2 linked regions of the Oryzias latipes genome follow. The protein of the gene in region 1 purifies or fractionates together with the protein of each later gene. This does not show direct contact. Links are inferred from orthologs where the notes say so. Each region holds a gene or a part of one and is shown on either strand. Other genes may lie near its edges.

Region 1 (3,685 bases):
TTTCCTTAACTGTGATAAACAGTCAATGCAAGTGACTCTTGTTTATCCATACAATTCATTTGTAATCAACCCCAAAAAAAACTGTCTCCATTGTTGCATGCATGTTTGAAAAAAGAAAAGAAAGAAACATTTATACCAAAGGAAGCCTTTAAAAGAGCTATGACTTTGGGATCAGTTTCTGTGGGAATAGAACAAAGACACAAAAATATTTCCTGTAAAATAAAATAAAAAATTTCTGGTTTAAAAGCACTTGCTGTATCTCCATCATGCACCCTCCCACTAAAAATGTTTTTTTCTCACCACTGACAGACAGCGTGGGAAGGTGGAACAGAAAGCCATCAATGCTGCTTGTGTCTTCCGTTACTGATCGCTCTCTCAGGCCCTCCTCCAGGGTCCTTGTCACCTTCTCCACTGTGACTCCACCATCATGGCTCCTGGGTACGGACAGAACTATCCAGAAATGAGCCACCAGACTGCCCTGGCTTGAAGAAAAAAGGTCAATAATTCAAATAAAGCTGAATCTTGAACATGAATCTTGAACATCAAAATCTAATGGAACTGATTCTACAACTTTTCCTTCCCTCCTAAATTCAGTACTTTTCAAGTACTGAATTTATTTCTGTTTGACTCAATTGCTTTTCTGACTAATAAGCACAACTGCAAGCCTAGCTGCTTCAAATTGTTTATTTTTTCATTAGTATGGTCTGAAAAACCCAAACACATGCACTCAAGCTCAGAATATATATTTTTGCTGTGTTCCTTTTCGCCGTAAACCCTTAAAGGTTGCTGTGATTTGCTTCCTAGCAATTTAGATGCATTTTTGCATTGAAAATTGTCGTATAAAAATTTAATAATTGCAAAAATGTGTAAAAAATTTGAAAGAAAAGCAAGAATTTTCAGTCTTAGAATTGGGCTGCAATTTTCTCATGACTTTTTTTTGACAGTGTGATCACTGCTTCAAAGTGTAAAGAATTTTGCTAAAGTAACATAGATAAAACTGAACTAAAAATATATTATACAATCTAAATTACATTTCATAGTCCACACACTTGTTTGGGGTTTCAAATAAATATCCTAAGGATTATTTACCACCTCTTTAATAATAATAATTTGAAGAAAGATTAAAGAATTTTAAACTTTTCAATATTTTTTTTTACTGTTTGTGTCAAATTAATTTCATTTTTTTTGTGTTATCTTTCATATTTGTGTATACACTTTTGGTTTAATGTTTCACATTTGAAATACATTGTTTTTCATTTAATAAATTGCTTTACCTACCCAAAAGCAAAAACAGTGGTGTAGTTAAAGTATCGTGACAGACATGAAGCCTTCATTATATTCTTGACCTAAAAGACAGAAAAAAATAATGTTGTCTGATGTTTCAGTTTCTAAATTTCAAACAGATCTTAAAGTCTTTATTTCTTCCAATAAAAATAGAGATAATTCTTCTATGCTAAGAACAAACCCAATGGTTCACTGTTTTAATGCTAGTTTTGATTGGTATGAGGGAGTTTTTAGCATGATAACATTTCACCAACAGCAAATGAATCATAGCCTTAATGTCTTAAAGAAAAAGAGCACTATGATGTCACCACAGGAGGCACTCTCAATGTAGAAAGTTTGTACAAGGAGATTTTACAAATACACAACTGTTTCCTCATTTGGTCAATAACAAGATGGCAATGCCCTAAACTCCCACAGAACTGAGTCAATCACAGAATCTCTCCAGAATTTGAAAGAGTACTTTTTTTTTTTTGCATTTTTAGTGGAAAGTAGCCATGCAGCAATAACAGTTATACATTATGATTTCAATTTTTCTAGACACATGTCTGAGAGGATTTCCTTGCTTTATGAGATAAGATTAAGATCCATCAACAAACTTTTACATTTCTAAATCATTTCTGATTATCAGGTTCCTCTTGTGTCAGTCAGCATGAAGACATGTTGGATTTTGCTGCTCACCGTGTTTTGGATTCCCTTGGCTTCTCTTTTAAACACAGGACTGCTGTGAGAGGACAATTCAGTAGAAAAATTCTTGTTTAGGATGGTTAGATAGCCTGTGTACTGCTGCTCCACACAAGGTTCTAATGTCCAGACCCTGTACTCTGTCATGGATGTAGAAGAAACATGCCCATATTAATGAAGTAAGTCCACAATTGAATGCATGTCTTACTGTATTATTTCTGGGAGCAACTCTTGTGTTAGTTTAGTTTCTTACGTAAGTTTGCTAAAGACACTTCTATTGTTAATTTTATATTTCAGTGTTTCCTGTATTAACAACAAAATATTTTATATTTCTTAAAACTTTGGAGAATTTGAAGGAATTTAGGAAATTATGCATAGCTACAACTTAAAACAGATACTTCAAAAACAAACACACTTTGTAATCCATGCTTATCTATAGCTCTGTGTCCTGGTTAATTGCTTTGAAAGGAAAGAGTGGCAGAGAGTCAAAAACTAAATCAATACAACTAAATTTGTTTATGGTCTAAATGTTTTTTAAAACTCTCAAAACAAGTCAAGACATTTGCAAATGCTCCATAATTTTAATGCTTAAACAGTTTACTGATATATGCAAAGTTACATTTGCTTAATTTTATTTTGAGAAAGATAAACATTTACTGGACAGGCTACAAGCCAACACAGTACTCTGACTTTTTGTGGAGCAAAAGAAGTAGCTCTTGTGCCAGATGCACTAGAGGCAAAGCATTACAGAGGTAACACACCTGTTTTTAAAGACTCTGTTAGTACATCTTTGTGAAATGGTAAAATTGTAAATGGCGTATACTTATATAGCGCTTTTCTACCTACAAGGCCCAAAGCGCTTTACAGTCACAGACCTATTCACCCAGTCACACACACATTCACACACTGGTGGCGGCTCCGCTGCTAAACAAAGGCACCCGCCTACCACCAGAGGCAAGGTGGGGTTCAGTGTCTTGATCAAGGACACATCAACTCATGGGCATGCAAGGCATGTAGGAATTGAACCTGCAATCTTATGATCATGGGTAAACCGCCCTACCGCTGCACCACAACCAATGTTGTGAACGGCTTTGCAGTCATGTAAAAAATCTTAAATGAAAATGGGGGATTTTGGACTGGTTTTGTGCAATAAAGAATATTAAATAACCAAGTATTACTCTTATATACATTTATATGACCCACAGCAGGATTGCAAGGACCATATTATTTTTGCAATTTATCTGTCTCACTTTGCCTTCGAGCAATAATTTCACCCCCGCCATATGCTCAAAAACTTGCCAAATTCACCCAGTGAAAATGATTTCTTGACCTAGTGAATGAACCATAAAAAAAGGAATGGGGCAAAAATCTCCTATGGGGCTTAAAAAAATTTTTCTAAATACACTAATGTAGCAAAAACACACATGTCCAACATAACATATTCAAAGGAAGTTTTGAAATTATTATGGGATGGCCACAGGACCTACAGCTTGGGTGCTATTTTGCGCCAAAATGCGAAATTTGACATCTTTCCTCAACAAGAAAACTTGTTCCAGCGATCTTTACAAAATTCCTCACACACGCCACAAGCTTAAATATACAACCACAACTGTAGTTTCGTAGAGCTTCACCTCAGGAAGAGGCCGGCATCTTGAATGTTCCACAAAACAAATCACCCTTAGTACCAGCCACACTTTTTAAACTCCTCATAGGATTTATG
Region 2 (3,685 bases), on another chromosome or scaffold:
GCTGACCCTCTGGGAGGCGGGACAGCCCCACACACACAGCTGCAGGTCATGCTCTGGCTCAAAGGCCTCCACCACGCTGCGGGGCGACCGGACAGACAAGCTGAGAGAACCGCCGTTCTGGCGCACCACCAGCAGCGTGGCAATGTGTGCCGCCCAGATCTCAGCGTGCTGGCCGGGATTCTGCGTCTGCACCGAGAGACTGCGGTGACCCCACCGCTCGCCGCTCCACACAGAGCCGTCAGCGAAGGCAGCGGGAACGTTATCCAGTTCCGCCTGGTAGAGCTGCTGGTCAATGCACTGGCGCCAGTTCTTGAAGATTATGGTGATCTGACAGGAAACACAAGACAAAAGACACGAGAAGTTCTGCTGTGATCTGTGGAGGTGTGACGATAAAACATGTGTGGAACCAAGTCACTGAGAGTTTAACTATACAAGGTTTTGAAATCAAAAAGCTTGATAGATCAGTTTTGACACAGACTAAAAAGTCTTGTTTTTCTGCTTACATGACACTTTTGAATATGGACGGTGTGTCCCACAGCTTAGTCTCAACATTGGTAAGTCCTTCTATTGTCTCATACACATGAGTTTGGGAAATTAGTTCTGGCTCCTCCCCTGGGGAAGCGGTGCACTGCTGCTCAGGAACCACGTGGTTGTTTTGACCCTCAATCCATTTCTGTTGAGTGTGAGGGCAGAAAAGCCTTGTTTTCCTTTTTAGGTCCCAACTGTGGATTCTAACTCACAATCCCCTACCGTCAGGGTGGACACTCCACCGAGTCGCTGTGCTGGTATCAGGACCAACTCGTCACACAATTTCCTCATTTCTAACAGTCAGGCTGCAGCAGGGTGCGCACATGTATCATGTGACAGCACTAACGGCTGGGGGGGTGTTAAAAAACATAAGGTCAGTACAGCACGCCTGCATTTCACCTACTTCCCCCTTACTTTCACGTGTTGTGTACATGTTCACTACGACCTGTGGCCCACATGCAGCATGCCCGTAGAAGTAGCAGTCTATGACCTTGATATTTCGTGCAAGTCACCTGTGTGCCCTGCACGAAATTTCACCTGCAGACAGTCACATCCACCTTCAAGGACAGATGGGTCTGAGGCCTATGTTTAGTGACATCGAGTAGTAAAACTGAAACTTCAACCAAGACTTCCTTGTGTTTTTAAATGTGTAACAGAGCTTCCAAAGTGAAGAAAACAGGAGATAAAAAATTTGTCAGCAAGAGATTGGCACACCTGACACTAAACGATCTGAGGAGCAGAAGTCCCCTGTGGCATCAGCAGAGAGTGAAGATCCTGTGGAGTTTGACAAAAGCTTTCTGAAAACAAACATCACTCTTTGAGCTCACCTTGGTGAGGATTGTGGGGTACAACCCCTCCTTTGCTGGTGAACTGGTTGCCTGCACATACAAGTACTCGTTGTCAATGACAGGCCACGCCCCCTGTACTGCACATGTCTGGAATTCGTTGTTAAAAGTACGAATATGGGGGTCCCCAAAGATGGCGCAGTGCAGGTACTCTGGCATTTGGCCCTTCCTGTTAAAGAAGCTCCTCTCATACAGACAGGTGTTTCCTGACAGCGTGCCTTGAGGTAGGGGCCGTGGCTGGGCCGTGGGCCCCACCCGGGGGCAACGATGCTGAATCAGCAGGTCCTCAATGCCCTGCACCGCAGCATGGTATGCCAGGTCACCCCGGCACGGCCGAGCCATCCGCTTGGTGCACAGCGTGTAGGAGCGCAGGGCGCTGCAGTAACCGGCATTCACCGCCTCCCTGCTGGGCAGAGCTTCTCCTACTGCCCCTCCACTACTGCTGCTCCCCAGGTCCAACTTTGCAGCCACAAAGTCTGAGTTACACTTCAGGATATGGCAGGAGGATCCCACTGAAAATAGATCAGAGAGAGAGTTCATCTGAACAGGGTCTGAGGACCTTCATTCTTCCACTCATGTCAAACCAGGGGCGCATGCAAATTTTTCTGAATGTGCCGTTACGGTTTCCCCAAATTTCTACAGAGTGAAGCCCCCAGAAAACTAAAAATACAGATAAGTACAGGACTCTCCGACATAGGAACCCGACACTGACACGCACCAGTGGCGGACAGGACCCAAGTCAGGACTCTGTGAACTAGAACAAGTCTCGGGTCGCCATGATTAAGTCCACATGACATTCCAGCTCTTTGAGTCTAAAACCATTTCACTACAGTTTGACCCCAGCATTAAAGAAATCCTTGTGCTTTATAAGAAAACAACAGCTCTGCACATTGAATCAAGGAATGAAGTGAAGTAGTAATCGAGTTTCTTTACAGAAGAGGGAGTCTGTCAGGAGATGAAGTGATATTGTCAGAATAAAGGTTTTAATAAACTAAAGGCCCGTACACACAGGCGAATTTCGCGCGCGATATTCGCCGACATTTAACGCCTCGTGACTAAACAAAGGGCACCAATGTGAGTGTTCACACTGACGCGAAAAACGCCACACATAAAAGCGTCATTTTTAAAAAAAGGCCTCGGGTTCGTTTTTTTGGTTTGGTTTACAGTAAAACACAATTTGGGGGCGCTCAAACACAAAACTGTCTTGCTGAGCACACATACGTCACGGCGAAGAAGATATACGCTACACTGCCGCGAAGAAATAAGACGAAGAAGATGCACTCACTGACGGACATTCTAAAATATCCCCGAAAACGCTCATGATACATTTTCAGCTCTTGTACCAGTTGATAAAACTCCCCATGTTCTTCTCTTCTCGTAACTATGGGATGTACCCAAAATCGACGTCTTTCATCAATCTACAGAACAATAATTTCTTCATCGCTGGAACTGGAGCTGGAGCAACTGGTGCTGGAAATATTCATGTTTTCTTTGATGGATTCTGACAAGCGCGTAAATACTTGCTCTCTTCTTCTGAGTGAAAAGCGACTTTAAGAAGCGTAAAGTTGCGCAGCGCCACCTTGTGTACAGGAGTATTTCTGTTTTACATTAAGCGCCATCTAATGTCAGGGAATGAAATTGCATGTTTGCTCGGCTCATCGTCAGCGAAAATCGCTTTGGTGTAAGCACAAAAAACGTGTTGAAAAACGCTGGCGAATAACGGCTGGCGAATATTCGGCCCGGTGTGTACAGGCCTTAACGGATAACAAAAGAGGTTTCTTTTTTCATGAAAGGTTGCTGGTTTAAAAACACTCATTAACCATGTGTGGCATGTTTCCAAGTTGAATTTCACTTAAATGCTTATTTAAATTTTTAAAGGACTCAGACCACACGTAATCCCTGTGGAGCAGGGGGGTCAAACTCCAGGCCTCGAAGGCCGGTCTTCTACTGGTTTTCCAGGAATCCCGCCTATCTGCCAATAAGGAGCTTCAGTGGGAGATTGGTTGGAAAACAGTTTTGGACACTGGCCCTCAAAGGCCTGGATTCTGACAGCCCTGCTGTAGAGCTCTTCTTCTGGGCTCATTGATTGCAAATTAAGACCAGAGTTGCAGTTTGAGCAGCGGTGTTAGCATTTCCAGAAAAAAACAGTTATGTCTGCGTCAAAATAGATTCAGAGGACTAAGAAAATCAGTGCAAAAAGGTGTGGACAATCCAGTCACAAAATAATAGCAGAAAAACAGTTTGATAGGTTCTGAACAATTGGTCATCGTCACAAGTTACCACCTCTGAGGTTCTCATACCTTCAGGCAAAT

Evidence for each region. The genes of interacting proteins can lie anywhere in the genome.
Region 2: the proteins of tmprss6 (region 1) and hemojuvelin purify together in Homo sapiens (co-immunoprecipitation; 3 studies listed by IntAct). This does not show direct contact. The link is inferred for Oryzias latipes from reciprocal best matches to the Homo sapiens genes TMPRSS6 and HJV.

Annotation. Positions count from the first base shown.
Region 1 is NC_019859.2:24,708,586-24,712,270, reverse strand, and holds part of tmprss6 (transmembrane protease serine 6), read right to left. Parts: intron 2,106-3,685; coding exon 1,963-2,105; intron 1,347-1,962; coding exon 1,279-1,346; intron 483-1,278; coding exon 301-482; intron 179-300; coding exon 137-178; intron 1-136. UniProt on the Homo sapiens protein: Membrane-bound serine protease. Through the cleavage of cell surface hemojuvelin (HJV), a regulator of the expression of the iron absorption-regulating hormone hepicidin/HAMP, plays a role in iron homeostasis.
Region 2 is NC_019874.2:31,647,156-31,650,840, forward strand, and holds part of hemojuvelin, read right to left. Parts: coding exon 3,674-3,685; intron 1,886-3,673; coding exon 1,356-1,885; intron 328-1,355; coding exon 1-327. UniProt on the Homo sapiens protein: Acts as a bone morphogenetic protein (BMP) coreceptor. Through enhancement of BMP signaling regulates hepcidin (HAMP) expression and regulates iron homeostasis.